Linked DNA regions of Canis lupus familiaris. The protein of the gene in region 2 binds, or shares a complex with, the protein of the main gene of each other region. Links are inferred from orthologs where the notes say so. Each region holds a gene or a part of one and is shown on either strand. Other genes may lie near its edges. The genes, in order: BRK1 and CYFIP2.

The links.
Region 1: CYFIP2 (region 2) and BRK1 share a complex: the UniProt entries of both Homo sapiens proteins name them as parts of the WAVE1 complex. The link is inferred for Canis lupus familiaris from reciprocal best matches to the Homo sapiens genes CYFIP2 and BRK1.

The regions. Positions count from the first base shown.
Region 1 is NC_049241.1:8,296,378-8,305,397, forward strand, and holds the start of BRK1 (protein BRICK1), read right to left. Parts: upstream 5,381-9,020; 5' UTR 5,300-5,380; coding exon 5,182-5,299; intron 1-5,181. UniProt on the Homo sapiens protein: Involved in regulation of actin and microtubule organization. Part of a WAVE complex that activates the Arp2/3 complex. As component of the WAVE1 complex, required for BDNF-NTRK2 endocytic trafficking and signaling from early endosomes.
Region 2 is NC_049225.1:53,722,026-53,730,261, reverse strand, and holds part of CYFIP2 (cytoplasmic FMR1-interacting protein 2), read left to right. Parts: intron 1-1,031; coding exon 1,032-1,106; intron 1,107-2,016; coding exon 2,017-2,170; intron 2,171-3,161; coding exon 3,162-3,318; intron 3,319-3,852; coding exon 3,853-3,949; intron 3,950-7,158; coding exon 7,159-7,235; intron 7,236-8,236. UniProt on the Homo sapiens protein: Involved in T-cell adhesion and p53/TP53-dependent induction of apoptosis. Does not bind RNA. As component of the WAVE1 complex, required for BDNF-NTRK2 endocytic trafficking and signaling from early endosomes.

The DNA.
Region 1 (9,020 bases), on a different chromosome or scaffold from region 2:
CGAAGGCATTCAGCAGCTGAACAAATCAAACCAGAGTGCATTTAGGAGTATATTATCTTTAGACTTTAAATGAAGATAACTAGTCATTCTTGTCAGGGTGCTTTGATGGTGTATCCATTACCACTGCTGACAAATGCCAGTTATCAGCTCCTCTGAACTCTTAGTGCACATAACCTTAGCCTACAAAAATCAATACTGTCATTCTCTTGACTTGTTGCTGTTAAGGCTTGCTTCTCTGACAGCATTCTAAATTTCTCAGGAGTGGCTAGCATGTCCATTTATCTTTATTTCTTTTTCAGAGGATGTGACACACAGCTGGGATCATAACAGGCATGCTATACTTGTTGGCTAAGTATAAAACTGACATTTAAAAATAACCACATTGGGATCCCTGGGTGGCTCACCGGTTTAGCGCCTGCCTTCAGCCCAGGGCCTGATCCTGGAGACCTGGGATCAAGTCCCACATCGGGCTTCCTGCATGGAGCCTGCTTCTCCCTCTGCCTGTGTCTCTGCCTCTCTCTATCTCTCACGAATAAATAAATAAAATCTTAAACAAACAAACAATAAATAAAACCACATTTATTATTTTTGTTACACTTCTTTGTGCATATCAGGTTTAGAATCAGGTACAACAGTACAAAAATAAAAAGCTATCATCTGTGACAATCTATTTTTAGAAACTTCACAACTCAAGGTACACAACAGGCCAGTGTTAGGATGTCATCACTGCCTCATGATTTGTGGAGCCTCAGGTTCAAGTGGTCCACCAATATAATTACTCTCACCAGTTGGAAGGAATCACAGAGTAAAAGCTGTTCAGAAAGTCACTAGCTAGCTTGGAAAAACTGTTCCCTCTCCAAATCACATGGCCTACAAGACTCTCTGTGTTCAGGGTGAGAACTGTAGGATTGCTGCCATTTTATTTTATTTTTTTAAGATTTTATTTATTTATTTGAGAAAGAGAGAGAGAGAAAGTATGAGTGGAGGGCAGAGGCAGAGGGAGAAGCAGACTCCCCACTGAGCAGGGAGCCCAATGCAGGGCTCCAAGATCATGACCTGAGCTGAAGGCAGAAGCTTAACTGACTGAGCACCAGGAGCCCTGAATTGCTGCCATTTTCAAAGACTGCCCTCAAAGTAAATTCCTATTAAACCTCTGAACCAGGACGCCTGGGTGGCTCAGCGGTTGAGCATCTGTCAGCTCAGGGCATAATTCCGGAGTCCCTGATCAAGTCCCAGGTCGGGGGAGAGGGAAAAAAAAAAAAAGTCCCACGTCGGGCTCCCTGCATGGAGCCTGTTTCTCCCTCTGCCTATGTCTCTGCCTCTCTTTCTCTGTATCTCTCATGAATAAATAAATAAAATCTTAAAAAAAAAACAAAAACAAAAAAACAAAACTCTGAACCACCAAATCATAGTATTACAAACTCAGTCTAAGCCCTACACATACACCTCAGAACTGAGGGGTCACACAAAGGGCCTGGAGTGGGAAAATGTTATCCCCCCGCCCCATGCTCACCCTGAGTCATTCAATGCCAAGACAGTGTCTCAAGTGTTTCATGATTGTTCAAGTTTCTCAGCCTGTTGGTCCTTGTCTACACTCATATCAGTGATAATGTCAATCTTCAAGAACTTGCCTCAGGTATACCTGACTGATGAATCACATTGCTTTAGCTTCTAACCTTGCCTTATAATTCCATTCTTAATTGTAATAATTGTCCTTTCCTTTAAAAGGACTAAATTAAAAAGTAAATAAATAAATAAAAGGACTAAATTAATTATCTAACATCTTCAAAAACCATCTAGCAATCACTCCCAACATTAGACCATTAGCATCACTTTAAGGGAGAATAATGGCCTACGCTAACTAGTTCTTCTGGCTCCTTAAGATTGGAATTTTGTGTGTATACTTCCTCAGCCTAGGACATGTTGGAAATCTCAAAAAGAAAAGTCTTTATTCTCTATTTGACCATAAAATGTGACTCACACATTTGATAAAATTTCAGTGCAGGGATTTCCTTGCTTATAAAGCAATACAAGAGACATTTCTCTTTTGCAAATCCTAATCTCAAACTCTTCAATTTTTGGTCAGTTCCGAGACTCATCCACTATAAATCTAGTGACTGTAGATCATAAATTACCAAGATTTATGTCAAAGATAAATGTATGTGATTTACAAGTTTATTAATATAGGGGCACCTGGGTGGTGCAAATCCTAATTTCAGGGGACGCCTGAGTGGCTCAGCAGTTGGGTGTCTGCCTTTTGGCTCGGGGTGTGATCCCGGAGTTCCAGGATGGAGTCCCGCATCAGGTTCCCTGCGTGGAGCCTGCTTCTCCCTCTGCCTGTGTCTCTGCCTCTCTCTGTCTCTAATGAATAAATAAATAAAATCTAAAAAAAAAAAAAAAAAATCCTAATTTCAGCTCAGGTCATGATCTCAGGATCCTGAGACAGAGCCCCATTTTGGGCTTCCAGCTCAGCAGAGTCTACTTAAGACTATCTCTTCCTCGGGACAGCCTGGGTGGCTCAGCGGTTTAGCGCCGCCTTCAGCCCAGGGCGTGATCCTGGAGACCCAGGATTGAGTCCCATGTCAGGCCCTGCATGGAGCCTGCTTCTCTCCCTTTGCCTGTGTCTCTCTGTCTCTCATGAATAAATAAATAAAATCTAAAAAAAGAAAAAAAAAAAAAAAAAAAAAGAAAAAGACTCCCTCTACTCCACCCTCACTCAAGCTCGCTCTCTCTCTAAAATAAATAAATCCTTAAAAAAAAAGGTTCATTAATACAACTCAGTGCTCAGAAATGAAGTTATTACATTACCCAGATCCAAATTTGGGGGACTTGTGCTAGATCATTTTTAAATTTTGAAAAACAGCCCCAGCTTAATTTACTTTTTAAAAAATTTATTCATTTATGAGAAAGAGAGAGAGAGAGAGAGAGAGAAAGAAAAGGCATGTGCCTGAGTGGGTGGGGTAGAGGGAAAGGGAGAGGGAGAGAAATCTTAAGCAGACTGTGCACTGAGCAGGGACTCCAAATTGGGGCTCCATCTCACGACACTGAGATCACTACCAGAGCTGAAACCGGAAGCTTAACTGACTAACTCACCCAGGCGCCCTATGACTTGTTATTTTAGATGTTTTGATTTAGTTGATGTTCTTAATACTTTGCTTAGATAATCTGTGTGTATAGATCAGATCTTACCAGATAGGTGAAATCTTTTAATTCTGCTTTTTAAGGTTAAAACTCTCCATGTCAGTGATTTTTCCAACTACTTTCCACTGCCTCTCCTAACTAAGCCAAATCTCAAGCCGTGATCTTCTCCTAGAAGATCCTTCTGGAAGGATCCTCCTTCTGGAAGAAGCACCATTCCATCCTTCTACTACCATGAAATATTTTGGTTTCTCTTCCATGGTCCTTTGTCTGAAGAAATGTTATGAGTAAATAATGCTGTGAACAACCTCCAATAATAGTTCAAGCTCTCCAGAAAAAGTAGGAGAAACCAATTATGAAAACTAGTATTGAAAGAGTTTGCATAGAACTTAGGAAAAAAGAAAAAAACTGAGGAAAGAAACCCAGATTATCTGAATAGTAGGGTAAATAGTCTCAGTTCACTCAAATCAATTAATCTAGCCTCTGAACTTGAGTCTATCTCCAAAAATCCATGTATCTTTTTCACTAAACCATACTCCTTTGCTCATAGTCCTTAAAAGATGTCAGGATATACGAGATCTATGTTGACTACCATTCCCTACTACAACCTCTATACCAAATTATGTGTGTGAATATGTATCAATGACATACTTATACTATTCTTTCTTTTTCTTTTAAGATTTCATATATTTATTCATGAGAGAGAGAGAGAGAGAGAGAGAGGCAGAGACACAGGCAGAGGGAGAAGCAGGCTCCATCCTGGATCCCGGGATCACGCCCTGAGCGGAAGGGAGATGCTCAACCGCTGAGCCATCCAGGCGTCTCTATACTATTCTTTCATATGACTCTATACTATTCTTTTCAGTAACTACCCTCAGTCATTCCCTGGTGAGAAAGATCCATCATACTAAGACTCATCAAAATTATAGTCCTACACACTTTATAAGGATATATATTAATACAAAACCGATGTTCTGAAACTGTCATTATTTCATTTGCAAGACAGAAATTCCTTGAAAGCAGGAAATGATTCTTATTCTGTGTCCTCCAGAGTACCTGAGAGCGCTTTCTACCGAGATCTGGTTTCTCTTGCTGATGCTTTCTAAGAAAATTCATGCTCTTTTACCTTACTCCTCAGGATGCATCAGTTCTCCAGCTGGAAAATAATTAATTCATTTAAAATCTTTTTTTTTTTTTAAATACATCGGTTTCCCCTACTTAATCTTCGTTGCTTGTTGCTGAATTAGTGGAACAGAAGCACACTAGTTGGAAAAAGATCACTAGATGTCATCCTTACACCTTGTGATTACTTAAGTCTACGCAGTGCCCAGTTCTGTTAAGGAAACACTTGGAGCACATGAGATGGGAGTCTGTTACAGGTTTGCTGTCCAGAAGGACACGAACAAAACAGAAAGAATCTGTCACAAGCGCGCCATGCCTAGGAAAGATTTTGCTAGAAGCAGAAGCAATACCTACTGCTGGCTAGTGGCAGCAATACAGAGCTCTCCGTGACCTTACATCTGGCCTCATCTCCCACCACTCTCAGCGCAGCAAAACCGGAAGACAGAAGAGGCGACTCAACGGTATGGCGCTCAAGAGATCCTGACAATGATGCGGAAGCCTCAAGAAACTCACACGAGGGCAGCGACACGGCTGTGGCTGCGTTGTGACTGACGCACCCTAAGTGCAAAGCGGGAACTGGAAGGGAAGCGGGTCACAAAGGAAGCAGGGAGGCTACCGAAGACGAGGCTGTGGATGCAGCTGCCTCTATAGAGTCGGGGAGAGGGCAAGGCTTGCTAATGGATCTGCTGGTGACGGCAATGAAGCCGAGGAGCTCAGCCCGGCGCAGGATAACCCTACAGGGACTGCCCGGTGAGGCCTAAGGATCCGGGCGAGAGGGGCAAGGTGGGCTGCAAAGGACGCGGAAACCAGCAAGCGCCCAGGGCTCCCGGGGCAAGCCCCTTCAAGGCTTCTCAGCGCCTTCGCCAAACTGCCCGAGCGGCCTCCTACCCAACCCCCGCGGCCCCCTGCTCGCCCGCTGACCGAAGGAGTTGAGAAAGTCCGCGATCTTCTTGATGCTGCTGGTGATGACCTCAATGTATTCCCGGTTCGCCCAGTCCTGGTGAATCTCCCGCTGCACCGGATCCTCTTGGCCCGCCATGGCTGCCGCCTGAAGAGAGCCACTGCGCAGGCGCCGCGACCCTCCAGGCCGCCAGGGCGCCTGCGCCGCCAGCCCACGCCCATCCCTTGGCACCCACGAATCCACCGGCATTGTGATGCGCCTGCGCGACGTCAAGTCCTCGCGTGCGTTTTCTCTCTGCTCCACGCCCCTGAAAAAAGTCGCCAGAAGGCGGCCGGGGAGGGGGCAGTGCGCACGCGCCGCGCCTCTCCTGCGCACCGCAGACCCGGTCGCCCGCGGTTTGGGTCGTTAGCGGGCGCGGGACCGCGAGACGCTCGCTCGGTCAGTTGCTCCAAACTAAGTTGGCCGTGTGTCGCCGATTAAGACGCATTAAGTACGACTCATTTTAAAAATGGCTTTCAGCAGCACAACATGATTCCCCACCTTGGACCCATCCAATGAACAAAACATTTTTTTTTGTTGTTTAAACAATGGCACCCAGTGATGGAGAGGCCCAGGGGAAATTGATAGGCTCCTAAATAGCTGGTCACACTGTAAACTGGCACAACTCCTGAAGGCAATTTGTAAATTGATAGCAAGAGCTGTCAAAAAAAAAAATTCGGACTTTTTTGACCTAATTATTTCATTGAGAAAAATCATTGAAAAAGAAAAAAAAAAAAAGACTTTAAGCACAAAGGTGCCCTTTGTAACGTTATTTAAAAAAAAAAAAAAACAAAACAAAACAACCAGGGACGCCTGAGTGGCTCAGTGGTTGAGCGTCTGCCTTAGGCTCAGGCCCTGATCCGAGGTGCTGGGATCGAGTCCCACGTCGGGCTCCCTGCATGGAGCCTGCTTCTCCCTCTGCCTGTGTCTCTGCCCCAATCTCTATGTGTGTCTCTCATGAATAAATAAATACAATCTCTAAAAAAAAATAATATAGCCACCTATGGCAATATAATGTATTTAAATAGTAATTCTGGGCACTATGGCAACATACATGATAAATTGAAGAGGAAAATGAAATACAAAATTGTCTTTAATTGCAACTGTATCAAAAATTTGTCTGCTTGAGGACAAGAAGGATACATGAAGATGCCAATGTCTGGTTTGTTAAGGTAGTGGAATTATGGACAATTTTATTTTTCTTTAAGGGAGTATTTACAATCTGCTTTGTGCAATACGTGCCTTTTATTTGAAAAAAATTTTTGATCAGATTACTTCTAGCAGTAGCTGGGAAGAAATCGTTACTAACAGTCCTTTACTTAGGTACAAGTTTTTATAAGCTATAAAGCTGCTTTTATAGCTATTACCTCACTGGACCCTCACAAACCCTGTGGAAGGAAATCAGGAAGAGGCTTCTCATTTTACAGATGAGAAAACTGAAGTTCAAGGTCACATAGACAATTAAGTGGTGAACCTTCACCAGTTAATTCCAGACTCCAATATTTTCTCGTATCACTCTGTAAACAGGCTAAGGCCTTTCTGAACTCTCTCATGTATTCATAGAAATGGTTACTTAAATAATAAACATCCCTAACTATTAAACCCCTGGCATCCAGAGGTATAACTGACACTCAAGACTTCGCTTCCTGAGTAATACTGTTGTAGTTCTATTTCTCACATGTCACAGAGAAATCGGATAGATCAGCTTTTCCTTTAAAGGCACGGCATCTCAGTTTCAAATCACAAATCTACCAAAGAGGAGTCACTTCATCCCTCTGAGCTTTTGTTTCTTCATGTGTAATACAGGAATAACAATATGGGGACACCTGGGTGGCTCAGCGGTTGAGCATCTGCTTTGCACTCAGGCCAGGATCCTGCTTCAGGATCCGAGGATCGAGTCCCCACATCGGGCTCCCTGCAGGGAGCCTGCTTCTTCCTCTGCCTGTGTCTGTGCTTTCTCTGTGTGTCTCTCATGAATAAATAAATGTTTTTTTTTATTTTTTTAAATCAACTTACTTTTATTTATTTTTTAAAGATTTATTTATTTATTTATTTATTTATTTATTTATTTATTTATGATAGAGAGAGAGAGGCAGAGACACAGGAAGAGGGAGAAGCAGGCTCCATGGTGGGAGCCCGACGTGGGACTCGATCCCGGGACTCCAGGATCGCGCCCTGGACCAAAGGCAGGCGCTAAACCGCTGAGCCACCCAGGGATCTCCAGTTTTTTTTGTTTTTTTGTTTTTTTTTAAGGAATAACAGGGCAGCCTGTGTGGCTCAGCGGTTTAGCACCACCTTCAACCCCGGGAGTGATCCTGGAGACCCAGGATCGAGTCCCACATCGGGCTCCCTGCATGGAGCCTGCTTCTCCCTCTGCCTGTGTCTCTGCCTCTCTCTCTCTCTCTCTCTCTCTCTCTCGTGAATAAATCAGATCTTTTTTAAAAAGATAAAAATAATAAAAACAAAAAGGAATAACAATATGGATGGATTAGGATTGTTGGGAGAATTCTGTAAGAAAGAATAAAACACTAAGCACAGTGCCTGACTCTTCACAAAGCAGGCACTCATGATTACATTTTCTTTTTAGGCAGAAAGAAAATTAAGTACACATATCTATCCAACATTTTATTTTTTTATGATTAATGGTCTTCCATGAACAAGTCAGGCTCAGCTTTTCTCCTTTTGCTGGACTTCCTATACACCTGTTCTAGGGTCTCCCCTGTAATTCCAAACAACTCAAGGATATAGTGCTCTCCTACAGTGAAGAATATTCCTCTGGACTTCTGGAGCTTTTCCCTACATACCTCAGGGAGCTTGCTATCAGGAAGTCCTCCAGTATGGGTTTGCCAGTGTGGTAGTTCTTCAGTGCAGAAATTGTTTATGATGAGTGATGCAAGGATACAGAGGCAAAACCTTTGGGAATGCTGTTGGTGCAACAAGGAGTGCTTCTGGGTGGCAAATTGCCTCAGCCATAAGGGAACAAGGTCCCTGCCTTTAGGTCTACCATGTGCTTCATAGAACTTTGGGAATTTTGTCAATGACTCCATGTGTAATAATCAGTGTGGAGTCAAAAGCTTGAAGAAATGTGTCAATTGCATTAAGCATGGTTATGTGAATCTTTATTGCAATCGCGTGCACTTGGACCATCATTTATGCAGCTAAGGATTGCATGTGCACCATGGCAATGTTGCTAGCTTTGAAAGAACTGAACCATCTTTTGGCAGAGCATATGTGGCTGCTGTCACGACAATCCCTGAGAACAGTGCACACAGAATATTGAGTGCTACATGATACAATGTTGATGTTGTAGGTCATTGATAATATGTGGTATGGGAGATTCTGGTTTTCCATATATGTGTGGTAGCCATGGAACTGGAGTATCAGAACCAGAGGTAACAGCAAATAGTACTTCCAAAAATAGATCCTTCAGAGCTGAAAGACTGCATAGAGGACTGTGGTGCAGATTGTCGTAACAGCACAAAGCCCTCTCTATCCAGTAACTTAATTTTACAATTTTGCTTCGGGGATTTTCATTAAAAAACACAACTGTTCAATAAAAACTGTTTGGTTTGCTTTTCAAATAACTGTCTCTTGGGGCGCCCGGGTGGCTCAGCGGCTGAGCGTCTGCCTTCGGCCCAGGGCGTGACCCCGGGGTCCCGGGATCAAGTCTCGCTTGGGGCTCCCTGCAGGGAGCCTGCTTCTCCCTCTGCCTGTGTCTCTGCCTCTCTCTCTGTCATGAATAAATAAATAAAATCTTTAAAAAAAATAACTGTCTCTTATTTGAGGGATGCCTGGGTGGCTCAGCGGTTAAGTGCGTCTG
Region 2 (8,236 bases):
CTCAAGTGAGTGAGACACAGACAAGGCAGGAAAGATACTAGAAAGGAAGCTGAGGGGAAGGGCCAAACAGGCAGAGAGGGAGAGAGAGAAGGAGACAAGAGGAGTGGAAAGAGTATCTATACAGGTGGTCTGAGAGGGGAGCATGACCACAAGTCAGCCTCTAATTACGTGAGGTGGTACAAATGCATTGAGTAGACTCTCTAATGGAGCCAGAAGAGCCCTTAGAGACAAGCTAGTCCCAGTGCCCTCCCTGCTTTACAGATGGGGAAACTGAGGTCCAGAGAGGGGAAGTGACTTGTCTAAGTCACAAGGTGAGTCACAGGTGGAGGTGGGACAAGAACCCAGGTCTCCTGACTCCCGCCCCAGGGCTCTGTTAGGGCCTGCAGAGCATAGTGGACAGGGGCTTCTAGCATAGCTGGGATGCTGACTGATCTGATGACTTAAATGCTCCAGTCAATAGACATAGGTGGGAGAGGAGGTCCCCCTCTTACCAACAAAATGGATTTTCAAATAGAATTTGATACAAATCAAGTCAATACCACATGGATTGTACTTGATAAATCCTTTCCTGGAAGGATGGCTCCAAGGGCCATCATTAGAATCCTGGTGGCTCCAAGGGCCATCATCAGAACAGTGCTTCTCAGTTCTTAAGGATGATCAGGCCTGCCCACCGATGGGGTTGCAGTGGGTGGACTGTCCCATAAATCAGCCACCATGGTAGCTCTTTGACCATCAAGGGAAATGCTGCGGTAGGGGCGGTGTGCCCCTCCTCTCTGTGGCTGCGCTGCCCGGCCAGGTGCCAGGCGCATGGTGGGTATGGTCCTGGAGGAGATCCAGAGCAGACGTGGTGGCAGAGGGAGGTTGGAGCTTCTGAGAGGTGGTCGGCAAGTGGCCCCTAGCAGTCGCGGCGGCTTTCCCACCATATACAATACCTCTTGCTTTTCTCTTTCTCTCTCTCTCTTCTCTCTCTCCCTCTTCCCTGTCTCTCCTGCCCTCCCATTCCCTCCTCTTTTCTCCTATCTATGTCTTAGGCCTGCCAGTGGTCCCCGCGGGCTTTGTTTCACCCCACTGGTGGCACACAGGGCCGAAGAGGCTGCCGATCCCTGGTATAACACCGCCTGGCTGGGTTGGTTGGGGTACACTTCTCCAGGAGGCAGCAGGAATGGACTAGCCTGGCTCCTCAAGGCCCCTTCCAGCCCTAAGATTCAAAGACATATGATGTGGAAAGATCTAGATTAGCACTTGCACCCTTTGCACTTAAGGCCCTCTGTAAGCGGGAGTTGATTGTCTAGTAGACCTCCTGTGTAAGTACCCATCTTCACCCGCTTATCACCCAGGATTTCAGTAGGCTGTGCAATGCAGCTGGCGCCACCAGAGGGCGCCATCCCTTGGTAATGGATTCCAAGTGCTAAGGGTCTGAAGCTTGAGGTGGCTGGGCGGGGGGCTTGCTCTGATCAAACCGCATTTCGCAATTCCTCAAAATGCTAGAGCTGAAAGGGACTGGCTTGAGAAAGCATCTGGTGCAACCCCCTCGTATTAGCAGATAAGAAAACTGAGGCCCAGAGTGGGACTTTGTTGCCCAAGGTCACACAGCAAGACAGTAGCAGCGCCTGGCCATAGACCCAAGTCCAGGGTGCCACCATAGCCAACCAGTAAAGCAGAGAGTGACTCCAGAGTGATGTGAACTGAGGTTCTCCTCTGATGCCCACGCCCTTGGCCAAGCAGAGCCAGCAAAAACTTGGGCCTTAAATGACTTGTTATTACATCAGGTCCTCCTACCCAGGGATGCCACAGGCCCTGGGCAGAATGTCCTTTCTGGGCGGGCCACTCTCCCTCATGAAGGTTTACATGTTCGAAATTCACTTCTCCAACCCTAAACTGGTGCTTCCTTAAGAAGGGCTTTTTAAGAGCAGACATCTGCAGAAAAAAAGAAAAATATAAACACAGCACAAAGAAACCTTTACCCCAGGATAGAGGGCCAGCCCCTGACCTTCTCCTCCTACTTTCTCTTTCAAGCTGTACATGGTGCGGACCATGCTTGAATCGCTCATCGCAGACAAGAGTGGCTCCAAGAAGACATTGAGGAGCAGCCTTGATGGACCCATTGTCCTCGCCATAGAGGACTTCCACAAACAGTCCTTCTTCTTCACACACCTGCTCAATATCAGTGGTGAGTGACGCTATCCAGGCAGTGGGGAGAGGACGGTTGGGTGGGGGCAGGTCCCAGACCCACTAAGGCTGTTGGACCAAAAGTTGCAAAGAAATGTGGTCATCGGCCAGAAGGGCACGTTTCGCCACCGAGGTAAAAAATGCACACTTTCTGGTGGACTTGGAAAGGCCAGGCTCAGTTCAGCTATTCTGACTCAGCTAAATTTGTCTGGTAGACATTTGTGGTTTATTTGTCATGAAGTCCTTAGTAAAGGGGATTAAATCCAGCAACATACCCACAGATGCAACCAGGCATCTTAAGCCTTAGCTTTTAAGCAGCAGCTCTGTGCTGATTAGTCTTGTTGCTCATTGCAAAGGAGGCTTCCAAGCTGGACCCCAAGCCGTGTCCCCCAGTCCTGTTCTCCCATTAGCAGGACACCTCTGCAGGTGGGACAGGGCAGGGGGAAGGACAGCAGCCTCCAGAGACCCAGGAGTGGTAATGCATTTGTTGGTACTAGAACAGTAACCTTAACGAATCCAGACATCTCCATTAGAGCACAGACCAGGGCCCCTCAAGGCTTCTAAGTGGATAAAAACCAGAATTACTATGTACAAGGGGACGAGGAGCAGTGAAAAGCGGGCACTTGGGGAGCTGGCTTGACACTATGTTTGGATAGCAAGCACACTTTTTCCACTAAGATTGTGGGTCTTCAGGTTGGCCTTGTAGGAGGACGATGGAGATTATGGGGGCATCGAAAGCTTTAAAATGTCACTGCTCTCCTCCACCATGGGGCTGCTACTGTGAGTCTAACAGATACTGTTTTCTAAGTAGATATTAGACTGACCTTCAGGTAAAAGAGCAGGATCTACTGATTAGGTCATATTTATGAGTACCTGCTGTACTCCAGTATAGTGGTAGAAATAGCAAAAGCAATAAGAACCAAGTTAATAGGAACAAAGATCTTTTGGTGCTTCTTCTGTATAACCCACTGCTCTTTCCTTAATGCTTTCAGAAGCCCTGCAGCAATGTTGTGACCTCTCTCAGCTCTGGTTCCGAGAATTCTTCCTGGAGTTAACCATGGGCCGGCGAATCCAGTTCCCAATTGAGATGTCCATGCCCTGGATTCTAACAGACCATATCCTGGAAACCAAAGAACCTTCCATGATGGAGTAAGAGGCAGGATTGGGTCAGCAAGGAGGTTCCCAGGGTGCAGAGGGAGGGCAGTTTGCTAGGGAGCTCTGTTCTTTCCAGAACTTTCGAGATGAGACAGTGTGGCCCCACTAGGAAAAGCGCTCATGCCAAGGATCAGGTCATACCAGATTTGACTCAGCCTTGCAGATAGGCTCAGGATTATACCAGCCCAACTGCCCTTCCTGTGCTCTGTCAGTGTCAGGCAGCTATGCTTGGAAGATAGTCATCTCTGGGGACCAGGAAGCTAATATCCTTAACTGCCACCTGATTTCTTTTGGTCCCAGACTAATTGTTTCAGGCCTTGGATTTATTAACATCATGGACTTCTGATTTCTATAGGCAGACTGTAAAGTAAGGCATTCCGAAGGCAATTTGGAAACCTCAGAATGCTGGAAGGCTCCCTCATATTAACCCCAAGCTTATTCATGTTTTCACCCAAACCTTCATATTTCCCAATCCACTTGCTTTCAGATTGATTAGTAAGCTGCTGGTCTCTGCTTTTCTCTCTTCAGGTACGTCCTCTACCCTTTGGACCTGTACAATGACAGCGCCTACTATGCTCTGACCAAGTTTAAAAAGCAGTTCCTGTATGATGAGATTGAAGCTGAGGCAAGTGACCCGCATCTCCTTTTGTTCCTATAATCTTATTCCAACAATGTGGACTTTTTAAATCTGTAGCTCTTGGCACAAAGTGGGCTGTCTTAGTCCATTCAGGCTGCTATACCAAAAATCCACAGACTGGCTTATAAAAAATACTGTTGTAGAGGCTAGATGTCTAGATCAGGGCATCCTTCTGGGTCACAGACTTTTCATTGTATGCATAGTGGAAGGGGTGAGGGAGCTCTCTGTGGTCTTTTTAGAATTTTTTTTTTTAAGATTTTATTTGAGAGAGAGAGAAAAAAAAAAAAAAAAAAAAAAAAGCCAGACTCGGGGGCTTGATCCCACGACCCTGAGATCATGACCTGAGCCAAAATCAAAAAGTTTAACTGACTGAGCCCCTAGTTTCTCTCTTACAAGAGCCCTAATCGCATTCATGAAGAGTCTACTTTCATGACCTAATCACTTCCCAAAGGCCCCACAGCCTAATATTTTTGGGGGTTAGGATCTCAACATATGAATTTTGGGGGACACACATATTCAGACCATAGCAATGTGGGATCAGTGACTTGTTCTGGAGAATGATCTCTTTTTATGACTTTAAAAAAAAAATTGCAGTATAGTTGATGCCCAATGTTATATTAGTTTCAGGTGTACAACACAGTGATTCTACAATTCTGTACGTCATAACTGTGCTCACCAGAGGTGTAGCTACCATCTGTCCCCGTACAATGCTATTATAATAGCATTCACTATATGGAGAGTGATCTTAACAAATCATGATCATCAAAAAGGACCCAGACCAAGATGATGGTCTTTCTTTTTCAGATATATTAAGGGATAACAAATGGTAAAACTGCATGGGTAATATTAATATTCTAATGAATCTTTTATGGTTGGAACATTTTGTTAATAATAATAACAGCAATATCACCTATCAGTTATTATATATTCACCATTTGCTTTTAAAACAACTTTTTAAATAACCTTTACAGCAATTTAAGGAGGTATATACTATTAATCTGTTTTACAGATTAGTCTTAGACTTAAAGTGGTCAGTTATCATAATGCCAAGGTCACTCAGTGTAAAGTGTCACTTGGTAGAGTGGTAGGATTGAAGTAACCTTTATCTCAACTATTAAGCTGTTTATTATTAGTCACTCAATGGCTTTATTTCTGTAATGGTCAGGATAAGCTAGGTTATGCTGCAGTAACAAATAATTACAAATTCTTAGTACCTTGAAATCAAAGGTTTATTTCTCTTTTATGGGTTGGTTGTGGGCTCTGGTCCATGTAGTCTGCGAGTCAGGACCCACATGGAACATTCACTAATTGCCATGGCAGGAGGAAGTGTTACTGCTACTTCAAAACTTCCACCTGGAAATGACACATGTCATTGGTCAAAGCAAGTCACATGACTGCATCACCTTCACGGAGAGGCGCAAGGAAGTACAATCCTGCCACATGGAAGGACGAGGCCAATAGTAGTGATGGCTACTGAAATTTCTAAGTTTTGCCTCCTGGGAAATGGAATGATAGTCTGGGTTCTTCCTTAACTGCATGGGGCTATATAAACACAGAATGAGGCCAATTAGGTAAAAATATCATAGAAATATAAAACATTCTTGTTTATAAAGGAAAGACATGAGTGTTTTAGGATTAACACCACCACCAACTTAGTTTGACAGTTTATGTATTTCAAAGAAAATCTAGGAGAGGTACTGTTTGCTTTCTCTACCCTCCAGTTTCTTTGGGAGTTGAAAACCTTAATGGACTCCAACCCAGATCTCTTCTCCTGAGCTCAAACTTAGGAAGAGAGATTCCAGGAGACAAATGAACTGGTTGCATCTTAACTTTGACAACCCCATGCTCTGACAAGATCCTGTATAGTTGTGTTCTCCAACAGGTTGAAAGCAAAAGAATTCTAGAGTGTCATGTGGCCAAGTGAGATTCTTAAATATGAAGAAAGCACACAGCCAGGCCCTGGGTAACATTTGAGGGCATGGGGTCAGTACAGATTGAGACCCCCCTCCCAGCTTATGGGCTGTCCCCTTTCTCTTCCCATCTGAAGACTTTGTTCTGTACTACAAAGAGCCTCATGTGCATGTGTGTAGATACCCAAGCTTTGTCTGCCACCACTGCCCACAAACAATGGCCCCTTAGCTAACCCTCAACCCTAGGGGTGCTTACACCTGCCATGCAATCCACATTCAGGAACAATACCAGGGAAAACTACAGACAGGTCTGAAGGGGCTTGAGCTTTTGGGACAAGGATAGTAAAGGCTGGTTCTAGAAGGAGAGCTTAGGGTATGAGTAGGCACCTCTACCTTAGCCCTGCAGGTTCTTCAACTGGAAGAAGACCTGGTGGGACCCTTGAAGCATAAGTCCAGAGCAGAGGCCTTACCTGCAGTTGAGGGCAAAACTGCACACAGCTCTGTGTTTTATGTTCAAGATAACATCTAGGGTATAAAGTAAGAGATACAGAAGCTCTTCAGATAAAGAATTAGCTTTATGGAGCTGAGAATTTGGTGAAGGAAGACTAGAAGATCAGTCCCCTAATTATGCTCTGTTCTCTTTGAAGTCACATGGTGCTCTGCTACCACCACAGCCCCATCTCATTAAGGTCCCACCCTTGGCTATTTCTTGCCATCAATGGAGGGTTTGGTTTTGATCCTGTGTCAGACATGAACTTCTCACCTGAGCATCACAATCTGCCACCGATGTGATGAGACAGACACAGAGATGGCAAATTGAGCCCATATTCATTAAGAGACAAAGGTTTTCAAGCAAAGTTTGAAAAAAAGATCTTTTTCAATTTCCGAGGACCATCAATTTCTTCGTTTGTCAAGCAAGTAACAAATAAAATGAAAGGAAAAGATGAGAAGGTCTAGCAGGGAAGAGGAAGGGTGGGCTGATGTGAATAATTGCAGGATATGAAGATCTATCTTGCCTTCCCACCTTGGAACTGCAAGGAGGGGACCTAAGCAGAGGCCAGTTCCTCAACAGCTTTTTGAACTTTGCCTTCTCTGTACCTAATTAAGGACCTTGAGGGCAAGGGACCAAACTTCTTAACTTACTTAGCCACAGAATCTTCTTTTTTTGCTATTCAAAGTATCTTGCTCTACAACACATAATACAGCCCAGATGCCCCTTGCAATTTGCCTATGCTTCTGTGATAAAGCTAGATGCACAGCACTGACATTCTTGCTTCCCTTTCACAGGTGAACTTGTGCTTTGACCAGTTTGTCTACAAGCTGGCGGACCAGATCTTTGCCTACTACAAAGCCATGGCTGGCAGGTATGAGAATCCCAGGGCTGTAAGGAACAAATGTTCTTAGACTGCTCTCTGTAAGACATAGTTTCCTGTTGTGAAACCTCTCTTCTTCTTCAGCCCCTAAGGAAATATGAATGATTACCTGGGCCTGGACTGGGTGCTGAAATGTAGGAGAAAGGAAATAGGCAGATTTGGTGCTGTACCTCATGGAGCTTACAGACTAGTAGGGATAACAGACTTTAGTAAAAACTGATGAAAGCACAGTGATAAGGGAGGTTGCATGCTCCCCGCAAAGGAAAAGTTCATGGGAATACGTGAATCTATGATGGTTAAACCTGAACTAGTCTTTCAGATGAGGAACTGGAAAGGCTATCCCGAGAAAGTAATGTTGGCATTCTTATCTGAAGCTGATAGGGATTAAGTAAAACTAAGTAAAGGATGAGACGGGAAATTGCAGGCAAAAGAACTGCTTGTGCAAAATCCCTGAAGTAGAAGTATTGTATTGACAGCATGCCTACTCCATAGGGCAGTTGAGACAATTAATGTGAATTAGTACATGTAAATGCCTCGTCCACAGGCCACAAGAGGAGGCAAGTTACATGATAAAGCTGGAGAGATAGGCAGGGCTCAGGGGATGGGGCTTGTAGACATCTACCTAGGAGGAATAGAATACCTTGGGATTTCAAAAGTATAATGGGAACCTGTTTCAAATCTTATTCTTAAAAATCTGTCCTAAACAAAAATGTGGGGAATGGATTGGTGGTGAGCAAGAATGAGTATATAAAGGCCACATAGGAGAGCAGTGAAGAAGTCCAGTAAGAGACATATTAAGTATTGGAGGCTCGTTGGTATTGCCAGTATGTGTTGATTTAGTAAATTCCTGGCTTTCAAGAACCCATAGCAGTACTGGTCAAGAAAAACCTCAAAATAAATATCTCCCTTCTTTTGGAAATCCAAATGTACCAACCAATAATGTCAAGAATAATGACTTAAGTGTCATAAATTATTTTTCTTTCTATGAAGAG